Linked DNA regions of Schizosaccharomyces pombe. Each later gene encodes a partner of the first gene's protein in a complex. Each region holds a gene or a part of one and is shown in the gene's direction. Other genes may lie near its edges.

What was found.
Region 2: tfg3 (region 1) and ptf1 share a complex: the UniProt entries of both Schizosaccharomyces pombe proteins name them as parts of the mst2 complex.
Region 3: tfg3 (region 1) and tfg1 share a complex: the UniProt entries of both Schizosaccharomyces pombe proteins name them as parts of the fcp1/TFIIF/polII complex.
Region 4: tfg3 (region 1) and ssr2 share a complex: the UniProt entries of both Schizosaccharomyces pombe proteins name them as parts of the SWI/SNF global transcription activator complex.

Annotation. Positions count from the first base shown.
Region 1 is NC_003424.3:893,341-897,076, forward strand, and holds tfg3 (TFIID, TFIIF, Ino80, SWI/SNF, and NuA4 complex YEATS family subunit Tfg3), read left to right. Parts: upstream 1-1,658; 5' UTR 1,659-2,025; coding exon 2,026-2,067; exon of another isoform or gene 2,068-2,256; coding exon 2,257-2,425; exon of another isoform or gene 2,426-2,482; coding exon 2,483-2,634; exon of another isoform or gene 2,635-2,698; coding exon 2,699-3,061; 3' UTR 3,062-3,207; downstream 3,208-3,736. Other genes in the region: protein mug35, read right to left, coding at 379-1,083; SPOM_SPAC22H12.03 (hydrolase), read left to right, coding at 3,537-3,736. UniProt on the Schizosaccharomyces pombe protein: Functions as a component of the DNA-binding general transcription factor complex TFIID, and the RNA polymerase II associated general transcription factor complex TFIIF.
Region 2 is NC_003424.3:2,604,385-2,607,945, forward strand, and holds ptf1 (phosphoric monoester hydrolase), read left to right. Parts: upstream 1-1,767; 5' UTR 1,768-1,800; coding exon 1,801-1,843; exon of another isoform or gene 1,844-1,894; coding exon 1,895-1,933; intron 1,934-1,989; exon of another isoform or gene 1,990-2,156; coding exon 2,157-2,229; exon of another isoform or gene 2,230-2,270; coding exon 2,271-2,805; 3' UTR 2,806-3,030; downstream 3,031-3,561. Other genes in the region: protein She9, read right to left, coding at 1-828. UniProt on the Schizosaccharomyces pombe protein: Component of the mst2 complex which is a highly specific H3 lysine 14 (H3K14) acetyltransferase that functions together with gcn5 to regulate global levels of H3K14 acetylation (H3K14ac), critical for DNA damage checkpoint activation.
Region 3 is NC_003421.2:2,160,693-2,165,209, reverse strand, and holds tfg1 (transcription factor TFIIF complex alpha subunit Tfg1), read left to right. Parts: upstream 1-2,036; 5' UTR 2,037-2,086; coding exon 2,087-2,626; exon of another isoform or gene 2,627-2,709; coding exon 2,710-2,805; exon of another isoform or gene 2,806-2,816; intron 2,817-2,846; coding exon 2,847-3,645; intron 3,646-3,694; coding exon 3,695-3,879; 3' UTR 3,880-4,015; downstream 4,016-4,517. Other genes in the region: nuclear pore complex component nup97, read right to left, coding at 1-178; protein Cwf26, read right to left, coding at 1,045-1,051, 1,092-1,990; succinate-CoA ligase beta subunit Lsc2, read right to left, coding at 4,310-4,517. UniProt on the Schizosaccharomyces pombe protein: TFIIF is a general transcription initiation factor that binds to RNA polymerase II and helps to recruit it to the initiation complex in collaboration with TFIIB. It promotes transcription elongation.
Region 4 is NC_003424.3:2,509,396-2,513,394, forward strand, and holds ssr2 (SWI/SNF and RSC complex subunit Ssr2), read left to right. Parts: upstream 1-1,685; 5' UTR 1,686-1,855; coding exon 1,856-3,367; 3' UTR 3,368-3,451; downstream 3,452-3,999. Other genes in the region: SPOM_SPAC23H3.11C (glucosidase), read right to left, coding at 3,565-3,999. UniProt on the Schizosaccharomyces pombe protein: Component of the chromatin structure remodeling complex (RSC), which is involved in transcription regulation and nucleosome positioning. Controls particularly membrane and organelle development genes.

The DNA of each region.
Region 1 (3,736 bases):
TGGTGTTTTTTATTTCCATAAAAATTGAGGGTCATAATTTCGTCGGCTATAGAGCTATGTATACAATCTCCAAATGACTTTGACTTTCGGTTTGGAAATCCGCTAGAAAGTGAAGAAGAATGTATACATAAAAGGTGTAATTAGGTTCAATTCCCAATTTACATCTAAATAAATAATGCTGATACTAGGAACGTTCTTTATCATAAAATGAAATGTGTTTCAACAAATACCTAATTAAGCATTTATCGTTTTAATCATCTTTTTTTAATTTACAAATATTTTATAAAAATAAAAAAAGTGTTTAGATATTTCTTGGGTAAAAGACACTAAACGGTTGCTAAACATTTGTGTCGATTGAATATGAATGATATAATATCGTTAAAAATGCGTTGGAATCACTTGGTTTGAATGTTGGAAATTAGATTCCAAACCCATGCGAATGAAGCGTAGAAATTCATCGACACTCATGCCATTTCTGGAGCAGATTTTCCAAAGACTAGCAGTTTGTTCCATTACTAGCTCATCCAAACCAAGACGATCATATTTCTTCGATCGATGCTTAGGTTCTTGGACAAGGTTTCTAGATTCTTCTACATCTTGATTGGAAGGTTGGTCAAGATCATAACGATCCCAGTAAGGCTTTTCGCTGTGTGAAACAGGAGAAACATCCCGCTCCTTGTCAGTGGATGTTAAGTCACCACTAGAATCGCGTCTCAACAATTGTTTTTGGGTTTTATCATAGAGGCCCATAAGTTTCAGAGAATGATCCTTTTGGTAAAAAAATACCTCAAATTCATACTTCCCTGCTTCAAATAAATACGATATCACATGGTCTTCAGGTGTCCCGCGACCAACAAACTTGGCAGAACGAGGGTCAAAGCTTTGCAAAAATTTCCATAACTCTTCTGACTCCTCTTTGCTGAGGTCCTTATTTATAACTAATCCTTCCCACCATCGATCCGTGGGTGCTAAAAACTTGACTCTCAACTGCAAGATAGGGGTAACAACACCATCTAGTTGTTTGGGATTTTTCAAAGGGAATATGCCTAAGCATGCTAATTCATCATGTCTTTCGTTAGTCATGTTTCACTGTGTACTAAAGTGAAATTAAATCAAAGCTTAAGCTGCCGGGTGTAATTGACAATGTGAACAACGCATATGCTACCACTCCATTTATATACGTAACTGACACGGCTTCTGGATAACGAGGATCGATTACTGACACAATCAATTTTTTAAAATATTAAACAACTTTCACTATTCTCGTATTAGCAACAAAGTTCTTTTGCTGCGGTATTTTTTGTTATTCTCAAATGTTCTAAAGAAGTTGCCAGATTAATCCATCGCTGGAAAAGAATCCAATAGTTCAAAGTTCTTTCAGCTAAAGCCTAGATCCAATTTATGAATAAGCTAACTTGGGAATCGGGATAAACTCTTACCTCTGCATAAAAATAATATACCCAATGCCTTATATTAACATGGTGCTCGAGGGTTTGTTTACTATATAGTTCGAGTAAAATTCATCGCATCCAAAAGTTTCGTTATTATGCTTTAAAATTAAACTGACTGTGCATTAAAGTTTTTAGTATATTACACTGCAGTACCATACCTTCACTGTCAGTTTGTAAGTCTACTTGTACTTTCCAGGAATTTGGGCCGTGACGAACCCAAAAGTCATATTCCACTATTCAAACGTTTTATAGTCTCACAGTTTTAGCAGTTACTTCCCTGTAATCTGCTAATAAATTTTAACAAAAGAGATATTTGTTATTAAACCAAAGTCATTTGCTTTATCCTTGAGTTAACCGACTTTTAGAAGTCCTTAAAAGTAGTAGTGCTCAATATTTCTGAACACAAATTACTGGTGCTTCTATTTCAATTCGTACATTGGCAAGATTTTTTATCTTTTCAATTTTAAGAATACCGCAAAAGTTATAGAATCGTTAGCCCGATATCTCTTCTCACGACTCGCTAAGCGTCTTCTATCCATATATTTTTCGTCCTCATATACATTGATTTAAGAATATGACAACTGTGAAAAGAACTGTGAGATTAATTACTGATCAGGTATGAAAGCCATCTGATTCATTTGCTACGACCGAGGCGCGTTATTTGACCCAATGGTCAAGGTTAGGTGCAATTACAAAAAACTTTGGCATTATACAGGATGCTCGTACAATTGAATTTAGAAGAACAATAAAAAACAAAACTTTTTCTTGCAAGTATCTTGATGAACTTTGAACTTACAATATTTAGAATGTGTTGCCGGGAGGTGAAGCAGCTGTGTTGAACGATCAAAGCTTCCCTGTGAGGGAATGGTCTATAAAATTGGTCTGCTTAAATCCTCAGGGAGAAGAAACTGACGCTTCCTTTGTTGATCGTGTCACCTATAAGCTACATCCAACATTTCAAAATCCTACACGCAGTATGTATTATGTGATGAAAGGAAGATTAGCAGAATAACGTTAACTAATTTTTTTAGCTATCAGAAAACCTCCTTTCCAAATAAAAGAGCAAGGATGGGGTGAGTTTGAAATGGAGATCATAATATACTATGCGGACAAAGGTGGTGAACATCGGTTCCTTCACTATTTACATTTTCAGCAGGAGCATTATCATGAGGATATCGAATTGGTATGTGTTTTAAGTATTTTAACATTTACTAGACTCTGATTTTATGGTGCTAACTGAGTCTTAGAATATCAATGCTACTAGGCCAGGTTTATTAAAGGCACTGACAGCCACTGGAGAAGTACCTGGCTACAGTGATGAAGGTGAAGAAGCTCGTAAGGATAAAAGAAAAAACGAATCAGAAGTTGGTGCTGGGAAGAAAAAGGCGAAAGCTAAACCTGTTGACATGGATAAACTTGCAGAGGGTTTGCAAAAACTTCAGGAGGATGACTTGTTACAAGTTGTGCAGATGGTGAATGAGAACAAAACACCAGACATGTATGTCCGAAACGACATTGAAGGGGGTGAATTCCATATTGACTTATATACTCTGCCGGACAATCTTCTGCTCTTATTATACAGTTTCTGTGCTAAACGCGTCACTATGTAATTAAGAGCATTGCAGTTTTGTGCAGCCTACTTTAAGGGAGAAGCGTTAGTTTCCCCATTCTACTTTTTTCCTGAAGACTGCTTAATGAGTTCTTGTATCATAATTTAAATAAGAAATTTCATTCCTTTTCACTATTTTTTGAGTTTAACTTGCGCTTAAACAGCGATACAAACATTTGTATTTTGGTACTATGGTGTAGCTTTTGTCTCGAAAAAGAATATTTGGTTAGATTAATATAATTATTTTTGTTTTTACTTACATAATATTTTAAAACCGACCTTTTTAGCTTTCATAATCAGCAATTCAGATTATGATCACACTGCCGATAAGTAGTTATTTATCATTCCTTGGATTAGGCTCACTTTGCTATTCGCAAACGTTTCCTGCAACTACAACTTCATGACAGATTAAATTATAATTATTTTATATCGACCTTATAGTGTTTATTTATTACTGCACAAGAAATTATAGAGTTATGTCTCTAAAACCAGTTAAATTAGCCTTTGAGAAGTATTCTGCCACAGTTGCTAAACACCCCCCAGTTTTGATCTTCCACGGACTATTGGGATCTAAGCGTAATTGGAGAAGTTTGGCAAAAAAGTTTTCCTGCAAACTTGACCGGGATATTTACGCTATTGATCAGAGGTGTCATGGAGATTCTCCCTGTGTAGCTCC
Region 2 (3,561 bases), 1.7 Mb from region 1:
CAAAAAGCGAGATAGGAAATATTTTAGCGAATCCAAAAAAGAGTGAAACGTATCGTAATTAATAGGAGGAAGAATTAAGGACGCAGAATTTTTGGGAAGGTTTTTATTGTCAATTTTCGGAGAAGTAAGCTCTAATGCTTGGCCGACAGCTTCACCTTTTTTATCAAGTTTCTCGGAAATCTTTTTCAGTTCATCATTTATTTCAAGTTCTCGTTCCTTGTCAATGTGATCCACAGCTTCACGAACCAACCGTTTCCTTTTCCTTGGTTCCAATATTAGTTGAACGACCACAAAAAGAACAACGTTAATTCCCATTAATCCCCATGTACCCCAGGTACTTGCTTGCCGGATTTTATCACTCCAAACTTGTTCTTCGTGGTATCTCGATAAAATCGAACGCACCAATCCATTTTGAGCTTCCTCTACCCGCCTTTCCGCTACATCCACATCTTCTTGAGCCTTAATTTCTTCTTCTTTGTTTGAATAATCATCACGGTATAGTTTAGTAAATCTTTCTAAATCAATAGTAGACCAGCTACTACGTCGTTGTAACAATTCGTTGACTTCACGTTGACTTGACGATCTTTTTTCAACCGCTTCAATATAACGCTTTCTTGCTTCAGCTGCAGATAATCTAAAATCACGGAGCTTTGTCTCCTGCTTTACAACCGCGTTCTTTAATGCCTCAATGGAGGAATAACCAGTTAATTCATTCAAGCGTTGACTCGCTTGGAGTATAGTCTGTTGAACTGATCCATTTCCTTTATTATAGATTTTGGGAAAGCGAGCAGCAAATCCCTTAATAGACTGAGAAAGTCGTTGCAACATACTTTCTTAATACTTATACATTACTGTTATATCCTTTCATGTCTTCATATAGTGAGTTAAACATAATGTACTGCTGCACCAGCCATAAAGCTGGTTTACGGAAATATTCATAAACAGCTTAGAATATGCTATTTATAGTTAGGTATCAGCAATACTATAATACGCTATAATACTTACGTTGCGTATCACTATATGTCACATGTCCTAATTAAATATCGTACTATGTATGATACGATATTGAGACTGATCTTAATGATAATCTATTAATATTTATATCATCTGAATACTATAAATAGAGCTACTGCTAAACCTCGTTCCTCAGTTCAGTTACAAGCTATACCAGTGATAGGTAACATTATAACCTTGTTAATACAATACCTACACTCAGTTGCTACTTATATTATCTGTGTATTGCGATATTATAGGTCACAAGGAAAACTCACCGCAGTTCTACGTATCATTAAAACGAATACGAAACTGCGTAGCTAACATTAGGATAAGCGAAACTCACGCTTGAGAGAATGTTGTAGATGTAAAAAGCATTTGAAATTTAAAAAGAAAAAACAAAAAAAAAAAAAATTACACTTCACTTTACAAGGCTTGGGCCACTTTTCTTAGGATTTATGGTAAAACGTACTGAGGATATCGTTTACCCCTTGCAGAAATATAGAATATCATTTCTTTTCTTTGATAAATATATGCTTTAAGTTAATTCAACCTCTACACTAATTTCGATTTTTAATCTGCAGCCCTTTAAAATAAAGAAGACTGTAAATTACTTTAAGAATTTCATTTTTTTGCATATAAAAGATAAAATATGACATTTATCATGACTCGAACAAACGACTGCTTGCTAATCACGGAATAAACAACAAACTTTATATCAGTGCTGGTAAGTTTCGTTACTTTAAATCCTAGAGTTGGATAGCTGTACAAAGCAAGCAATTTCAGCAATTCAAAAAGATTTGGACTATGGCTCAGAAAAAGCAGTTATACGTATTCAGTGACTTTGACGGTATGAAAAAATAATTTCAATAAAAACAGACAACTAACTTTTGGGGTCTAGGAACTATTACACTCCAGGATTCCAATGACTACTTAACTGGTAAGGTTGGGAATAGGAAGATTGTTACAGATATAAAAAGATGTATAAAGGTAGTTAGAAAATGTTCTTACAATTAAGCTTAACTGAATATTTATTGAAGATTTACGAAAATCTGTAAGAGAAATCTATGATTTTATAACATTGGGTCAAAAATTTCCCTGCCCACCTTGAATGCTTTATTACTGCAACACTCGACGGCGACGGTTTACTAACTATGTTTTAGACAACTTTGGAATGGGCAACGCCAACCGTGTGAATCTAAATCAACAAGTTCTTGACGGTTCCATTTCTTTTCGGTAAGCGTTTGACGCGTAAATCAACTCTTAACAATTCATAGTGATGCTTTCGCGAAGATGTTGGATTCAGTGCATTTAAGCTATGATGAAGCTTTGGAGGTTCTCAAGAAGAATGTCGCCATTGATCCATCATTTAAACCATTCTATGAATGGTGTAAGTCTCAAGACATTCGTGTAATCATCCTTTCAAGTGGTATGGAGCCTTTTATTCGTGCACTTTTTGAGCAATACCTTGGCAAAGAAGAAGCAAGTAGTATTGAAATTGTTTCTAATGACATCAATGTGCATCCTGATGGTCAATGGAACATTGTGTATCATGATGACAGTCATTTTGGACACGACAAAAGCCTTACTATCCGTCCGTATGCTCAATTGCCAGAAAGTAAACGTCCTCACATGGTCTATTGCGGAGATGGTGTTTCCGATTTGAGTGCTGCGAAGGAAACAGAACACTTGTTTGCCAAGAAAGGACGTGATTTAATTAAATATTGTGAAAGGGAGAAAATTTCTTTCTCTGAATTCGAAACCTTTGCTGATATCCATAAAGATTTGCAAAAATTATTCTTTAGCAGTTAAATCTGAATAATACCTAAGAAGTTTTCGTACTTCAACATTTTTATACCTAAAGTTGATAGATATTTGTTATCAGCGCCTCGAAACTTAGTTTCAAGCAGGTCCTCATAGCAATTTAAATGCATCATTCACCAACGGTTCGATTAGTTTGGGTTGTTAGAAGCAATGATTTAACATAATTTGTATTTATATACTCATCCATTTGCGAGTCTTGTATGAAAAATCCTATATCATATCAGTCCGTAAGTGGTCGCATTGCTACAATATCTCTTTATTTTTTTTAAGAAAGAAAATAAAGAGATATTAAATTTTGCGTCTTTTGGTCGTGAGATCGCCGAAATAAGGTAGCGAGTATAACATAATGTAGATCACGCATATTGTTATATTTTGGTTTGGTAAAGTTACTCAAAGTCAGGAAACTTGTAATGATGTTTTAAGGGGCTTGCAGAAAAAATTGCTATTACGAAATCCATGTCTGTAATATTTTGGTTATTAATAAATTGAAATAAAATTTAAAACATGAAATATTGTGACTTTATGTATCCTGTCTACTACCATACCTTTCAACCTTCATACAAATTTTCCCGTACTCGCATCATTTTCTTTCTTCACCTAACTCCCCACCGTGTCTGTAAAACATAATATTTCTCTTTCCCACATACGAACGAATAAATAATAAAATACAGTATATGTACAGTAAACGTACCTCAGACACCATTATTTTGTCAAGAAAGTGAATAAGCTTACAATACCCCCGTC
Region 3 (4,517 bases), on another chromosome or scaffold:
CCTTACTAGTAGGAACGGTGTTCAAGTAATGTTTTGCGCGTTGTTCAATCTCACCCAAATTGAACTGGATAAACGGAAGACATGGTTCCAACAACTCATTAGCAAGTTTACGAGACTTTTGATCTAAAAAAGGTATGCCTCTAGCTTCCTTTGGTGAATCGTCAGACGCAACCGTCATGGCGATGGTCAAGATGTAAACAAGCACAATGCGTTTGAGAGAATCTGTCTCGGTGAACTAAGGAAATTGAAGTCACCGAGTTCACCGAACCTTAATTGTTAAAAACAATATTTCATACTAAACAGGTCAACAGTAAAACGTTAAAGAGTATTTGAATCATCCTTGTACTCGGTTGGAATTACAAATTCTTATGCAAAAAGCTTTGCTTTACGTATACAGCAAGTGTGAAGTCAAGTCTGTCTATGTGGATGTGAAAGGGCTTAAAAAGTATAAAATTAAAAATTTTAAAATACTATTTTCAAACATCGATTGTTCTCGTTTAGCTCTTACTATCATTTAAAAGCCAATACATATGAATTCACAGAATCAGCAGTGAATTATTTGGGCCCTTAGGGACAGCAATAGGGAAATGATATTTAATATTGGTAAAAAGTGTTCAGAATTTAGAGAAATAACTGAATGGATGATATTTCAAACCCTCTTACTACTAACAGCCGTGGTCGCTCATACTCATACGTTTAATGACCCATAATTGAATATAGGATTAAGAAATCGTCAGAAATTTAAAAATAAATATATATAAACTAGCAAAAAATATTTTAGTATAGATAAGGCTACCATTGTCTCGTGGTGTGCGATTTCCCAATAAAGCTATTTGCTATAAGCGTTTTGCTTTTGTAGGTAAATATCAAAGCCATTAGTTAATTAAAGGAAATGGGACAGAATCTGGAAAATCAAGTATTGTGCCTCGGTTGACACTCGTAAACTAGAAGAGATTATGTTCAACTCGCATTACAATATCATATACATGAAACCAAATAGTCTCCTCCATTTTCAGCAGAAGAAATAATGAAATCGTTAAATATTTACATGCTGATTTCGTTAGAGATTTATTCAAAAACTGATTACTTACTCCTCAATTGCCCACATATGTGCCTCGTGTTCTTGTGCCTTTCTCTCATTTTGGCGCTGAAACCATTTATTTTCAAATCCATTACCACGAATAATTCCATCCCAACGATGGCCAGGTCGTATATTAAACCTATTGGGAGGCGCATATCCTTGATAAGTAGCTTTTGATGATACAGGTTTATTAGTGAGAAACGAAGCAGCTGGGTCATTCCAACGAGACCTTTCTTTCAATTCCTTATTGTATTCAGGATCGTCCTCATAACGCGCCAATGGCACCGTTTTTTGCCTTTCAAGTTCTTTTAGGTATTCTTTCTGTTGACGCACTTGAACCACACCTTGTTGTTGTTCCTTCTGTCTTCTAGCTTCTTCCTCTTTCTCTTTTAATTTTCTTTTGGCTTCTTTTCTTGCAAGAACCAGATCTATCCTTCTCCCTGTGGCATCTCTGTAAACAGTTTCGCGACTTTTGCGAAGCTCTTCCTCATCAAGATTGGATGATTTCTCTTCTCTCTTTCTTCTTTCTTCAGCTTTAAAGGTCACCTGCTTTCCAGTTAACAGACCGAACTGAGGAATTGATTCAGCATCATGAGAATCCTGTTGTTCAGATTCGACAACTTCATCATTCCCCACAGCTTTCCACAACTGAGCAGGTTTATTAGTAGTTTTTTCTATATTCTGATAAATAGCATCAATATCTCGATCTTTAAGGCTTTCATTTGCGACAATTGTAGGGGCATCATGCAAAGATGTGAGTTCTCTGTTGACTAGTGAAAATGAATTGTCATCGTCCCATCCAGCGACATCTTCATCCTGAATTTCTACAAAATCCTTCTCTTTCTTCTTTTTCTTTTTCCCTTGATCTTTTCGTAAATACTTTTTAGCAATATAGTCGGCGTTTGACATATGTGCTGAATGCATATTTTCTTACCTGAGCGCTTCTTAACTCGCTACCTTCCAACACCGGCGGAAGATCAGTATTGACATATTTTATCGGAGAACATGGATTCACAAGAGACAAAAGTTTTTGAAAATGTAAAGCAGGAAAATCCTGATGAGAAGAAACCCAAAGTTGAGGAGCCTGACTCCCAAAATAATGCTTCGACACAATCGCAGCAAAAATTTTTGGATTTCCAGCTTTCATGGTGTCCAGAGAGTGAAAGAAAAACAACTAAATACCATTTATTAAAATTTCACTCTAACAAAGCCATTGATCCTTCCAAATCCTTTGTGCCACCCATAAAAATGCAACGCAGAGACCCCAATGCTCCATCTTCGTCAAACGGAGAACAAAATGCAGAACAAGGAAGCTCCAGTAACGTGAACATCGCTTCAATCGCTCCTTACGGTGGCGCTCAAAACATGAAGCAGAATGCCTTTAAAAGGAAAACTCGCCAGGTCGTCAAAGTTGATCCACAGGCCCGCAGACTACAAGAGGAGGAGTTATCTCCTTGGATTATGGAAGATTTTGAAGGAAAAAACACATGGGTTAGTACGATGGAAGGCGGCCAATCGTCTGCATATGTATTGTTCATGTTCTCTGTAAGTTTTTATCCCATTTGAAGATGTTGGATGTTTATCATTCATCTTTTGATCATTTAAGATTTTTTATGCTTACTCTATAGGAAAATGGTTTTAAGGTGATTCCAACTGATAGATTTTATCGATTTAATCAACGTAACAATTTCCAAACGCTTTCAATTGATGAAGCGGAGGCAAAGGTCAGTCCTTATTTCCATCAGGTCTTGTCTAACCCATTTAGATGAATAAAAAAACTCCGATTCCTCGCTGGTTTATGAAAAAGGAGAGTGAAGAAAACTTAGCAGAGGCAGGCTCTGCTTCACCCATGTATAAACTTAAGACGGTTCCAAATGCACGTCCTGTAACGGGACCGAGAGCTAGTGGAAGTGATGATGAACTAGATTATGACGAGGAATTCGCTGACGATGAAGAAGCACCTATTATGGAAGGAAATGAAGAAGATAATAAGAAGTTGAAAGACAAGATTAAAAAGGAAATGCTAACTGCCAATTTGTTTGGTGAAGCTGATCAAGATGTCGACCTTGAAGAGGAGAATGATAGACAAATGTCGCGTGAAGGAAAAAAGCTGCAAAGATACTTAAAATTGCTTGAAAAGAATTTAGCTTATGAGAGTGATGAGGAAGATGAGGACCCTTATGCTTCCTCCCATGATGCGTCTAGTGAAGAAGAAGTTTTGCAAGAAGAAGAAGAATTGCAAAAGCGTGAAGAAAAACTAAAGTCTAGATTTTCTGCGAACGCTTCCAAAACTAATACACCAAGACCACTAGAACGAACGCCAAGCAGCGTATCTCCTGTCAAAGCTTCATCGCAACTACAATCACCTAATACTTCTATTCAAATAAGGCCTCAAGAACAACTTATTAACAAACCTGGATATATAATTCTCCGCTTATCAAGTGAAAAGTTATCACGGTTTGCCAATGACTTTCCCCGTATGGTCCCTAGCATGGGGTCTACAGAAACGAGTGTAGGAGATCAAGTGGAGGTTGTGGGAGATACTACAAATGTTCCAATTGATGGTATGCTAAAGTTTTACATTTACCAGAAAATTTATTAACGTGCTTTTAGATTCTAATCTGATTACGGAGGCAGAGGTAATGAAGGCTTTAAGAGCTGGTCCCATTTCTATTAAGGATCTAGTTCACCTGTTCCAACGCAAAATTAGAGCCGACAACAGAAATCGGTTGGGAATACAGAAGATCATTCGAAAGGTTGCTCGATTTGAGAACAAGCTACTCGTTTTAAAAAACTAGTTATGAATTATCTATGTAATAACGTTTATATATTAATGAACATTAAAGAAAACATTTGTTTTATTTTTGGAAACAAAATTCAAAATTGCATTAATTTAAGAGCATAGTAGAACTATTACAATTTAACATTTCCCCTAAAATAGAAAACGTCGGATTGTTAAGAAGTGCACTCGTCGATCGGTATAGTATCAAATACACGAGTTTACGATCGCGATGTTCAACTATGCTACTATATAACTGTAAATGTGTATAAAATATATAAAGAAGAAAAATAACAAACCATTTCTTTAAGACATGGTAAACAGCTGTGCTAAGAATTCTATATACACAAGTCATTATATAAAATCATTCCATGATGCCGTATGTCGTAATGATAATAAGAAAAGGGGGTTGTAAACAATTATACATTAAAGCCGTTAAAATTAGCAGCCTACAAAGGTAGCTCGAAGCTAACATTCACATCGGCTTCACGTGCCATTTCGACAACGCGACTGAAACGACAAGCCTTCTTAGCTGCTTCATCAAGATCATCAAATGAGAAAATACGGAGACCTGAGTTGTTGATTACCTCTTTGGCAGCACCTTGGTTGGTTCCTTGAAGTCTGCAAATAATAGGTATGTTCAGATTCAACGCTGAT
Region 4 (3,999 bases), 1.6 Mb from region 1:
AAATCGCAAATCACAACCTTTTCAGTTTGAAGATAAGTAACTAGTACTTTTTTTTCAAAATATCAATTATAAATAAAACTTATAAATTGATAATTATACAAAAATACCAAATTGTTGGTGTTGGTGCCACAACTGGGAGATGGTTAAGGTTAACTTTCAAACCATTCCAAAAAATTTACCACTTTAATGGATAACGGAATAAACTGCCAAAATGTTGTGAGCGCCCGGAGTAAGAAATTAGATCCGCCAGGATATAGCAGGCTTTATAATTTGGCAACACATATAATCGCAAAATAATCAAAAAATATCATTTTTCTCTAGCCATATAGTAACCATATATTCTCGAACTATAATTTTATTACTAAGCATCGAACCCAACAAAATTATGCCTTTTTATCAAATGTATACAAATTTTGAGATCAGCATTGTTTATTCTTTTACTATAAAATTATTAATTTAGCGTGAAATAGCTTTCGAAGCAAGATGCAATTTACATTTTTCAAGTTTGCCATTTCGCCGTGATCCTCATCAGTAATTTGTCGGTGAAGGCAAAATTCTGGATTGCTTAGGAAATGAGCAATTTGTACATGTTTATAAAATTCTGTTAACCGAAGCCCGCTTGAAAAAGTTACAATTATAACAGTGGAAGTTTTGCACCTGTAGATAACTTATCGATATCGTTAGATACTTTGAGGCTATTCGGTGAATAATGCCCGCATTCTTTTAGCTGGTTTTTCAGTTTGATAATTAACGAGCGCCGGAAATTTCAAATTTTTCAAGTAAATTGAGTTGGATAGGATTTGAAGGATCACGAAGCTATATTTTAAGGAGTTCTCATCTCCATAAATTACTAAGTACATTGTAAAATGCCGGTTTATAATAAGCCTTGAAATCAATCATACTTAGTAACTGCATTTTGAATGCTAAAATAGAAATATTTTCTTCTTACTGCTGAAGCGGTTTCCGTTAAAAATTGTTCAGATAGTTGCGTTCGCGCTATTTAAAGCAACCTTTATAAATATATTCAAAGCTTGGCAAGATTCTCTTTCGAGCCTTAGCGGAAACTTTGATTTCTAATTGCTCAACTTAATAAAATCGTAAAAAGATCTTATAATTCATTTTTTGCCTTGCAATTGTCGCAAGGGGTCATAGCTCAGTGGTTAGAGTGAGGGATTGCAGATCCCCAGGTCACTGGTTCAAATCCGGTTGGTCCCTTGTTTTTTTCTTATAGAAATTAGATTTTTTCACAAAAAATCAGAAGATTTGTGACAGTTTCAGCTTTTCGACAAAAGTATGTAACTAAGAACAATCATTTTCTAGATGCTTTCTTTTGACTTGAAAACTTGAGTTATCCGAATAAAGTAGAGTGATATTCTAAGAAGGATAGCCCTCGATATATGCGTGTAACAGTCTCAAATGTTCTCTGGCTTATAATATAAGATCGTCAATTTACCATTCGTACCCATAGACCCACCTTATATTCATTCAATTACTACAAATTCTTTTGTTGTATCCATTAACTAACGTAACTTTTTATTAGGAAAAAACATAGTGATAATTAGCGTGTCGAATTAAATATAGCGAAATGGCCTTAATATGTAGTTAAGCTATTGTTTCTTAAAACACGTTTATCAAAATGCACCGTAACTTGTAAATGAGTATAGCCGGACGACTTGTCAACAACTAGTGCTCTAATTTATTAAATGGCAATTGTGCTATTTCTCTTGTATTTATAATTTTTATTATTAAGGCCTCTTTCTTAACTTTTCAAGTGTGTTACAACTTAAAAACAACTTAATTTTGTGGGTATTACATTTTTTTCGTGAGTGGACTATTCAAAAATCAGACCTTCACGATGACTCTCGATCAAGTTCGCATACCCTTTCTGGTGGAACAAACTTATCCCATCATTGTTCCTTCTTATGCAGGATGGTTTGACATGTCGAAAATACACGATATTGAGCGAAGGTCGAATCCCGAATTTTTTAATGGAAAATCTCCTCTCAAAACTCCTTCTATATACAAGGACTATAGAGATTTTATGATTAATTCATATCGTTTAGAACCAAATGAATACCTGACAGTTACTGCATGTCGTCGAAATCTTGTTGGTGATGTTTGTGCTATAATTCGCGTGCATGCATTTCTCGAACAGTGGGGCTTAATTAACTATCAAATCGATCCTGAAACGCGACCTGCATTCCGACTTCCTCCTATTTCAGGACATGTTCAAGCTATTAGTAATACTCCAATCGTCACGCAAGAAATGTTAGCTCAACACCCTCCTCCTAGTACCGTCGGTGGATCTTCGAGCCAAGAATTTGTTAAATTAGAAGAAAAGCATTACAGCCCTAGTTTAAATGCAATGGAACAAACCTCTCCCAAAGAAGAAGATGAAAAAAGCGACAAAGTCCCTCGAGTCGATAAAGTTTGTTTCACTTGCGGTGTTAATTGCTCTCAAACTTGGTATCACAACTTAAAAAACAAAAAATATGACATCTGTCCAAACTGTTATAAACAAGGGAGGTTTTCTTCTTCCTTTAATTCCTCTGATTTTTTGTGCATGGATGCGATTGATTTCAATCACGACGAGGAAAAACCATGGTCTAACCAAGAAACTTTGCTTTTATTAGAAGCTATTGAAACTTATGGAGACGACTGGAATCAAATAGCTTTACATGTTGGATCACGAACTAAAGAGCAATGCTTGATTCATTTCCTCCAGATTCCTATAGAGGATCCCTATCGACAGAAACTTCAGGGTGACTTTTCCCCATTTAAAAAGGGATTTTTGCCCTTTGATGAAAATGAAAATCCAGTTTTAAGTACTTTAACATATTTGGCTTCCATTGTTCAACAAGGCATGAAAGAGCGCAAGCAAAATGAATCAGTGAAACAAGGAGAAACCTCCTTTGGGAATTCCGAGTTTAAAAACCCACTAGAGAGGGTTGCTTATTATGCTTTAAAATCTGCTGCTCAAAAAGCAAAATTGATTGCAGCGTTTGAAAATCGCCAGCTTCGACGCTTGGTTTTTTCGTTAATCCAGGCTCAGCTTGAGAAGTTACAGCTTAAAATGAAGGTGCTTGAACAACTCGAAAAGATGTGTTCTTTAGAATTATCTGAACTCGATCTTCGTGGAAAAAACTTACTACTAAGTCGTTTGTCTACTAAAAAAATGCTTCTTGCGTTTAACAAGAAATTGGAAGAAGCTGTTAATTTGGGCGGTGAAGATGGTTTGAAAATAATTGACGATTTAATGAGTACAGAACATGCAGAAGCATTATTGACATTTGAGATGCCTACGGCAACAACCGTTTCTCCTTTAAGTAAGCAATATCCCGATAAATTTCGTACAATTGCTTTATAAGTTAGGTTCACCAAATTCAAATTTGTATTCTGCATGAAGTTCTTTTGGCTATCTAGTTTTTATAGACATATATATATGTAATCTAAATTTTTTTTTTGAAAAAGAAAAAAAAATGAACATTAAATTCTAATTGTTATATAACTGAAATGCATCTTAAATATATAGATAATTCATATAAAATATGATCATAATGGCAATTAAGTGTTACATTTATGCATTAAAGAATTCTTAGGCCATGTATAACCAGCCATTTCCCAAGTTGTAGCATTTGGATTTTTGTATGCTAACGGATGTTCTTCAATATACTTGGTAGTAGGATAGCCGGGGGGATCACATCCGATATGTGAGTTGGTGTCATCAGGGTCTTGATAGATACGAATGTAATCTATGTACATCACTGCAGGAAATGAAAGATCCCGGAAGTAATAATAAGCCCAATTGTTTGATATTCCAAGGTTGAAAATAATAGACATTGGCTCCTCACTAATTTGACGAGGTCCGACATTTCCATTTTGACCGACGGCGCTGCCAAGCATCGACCAAGTATAGTTTGGACCGACAAACCAAGATACATACCCATTAGTACCTTCACCAGGCTTGTAGTCAAAACCATAAATTTGGAATGCATTTCC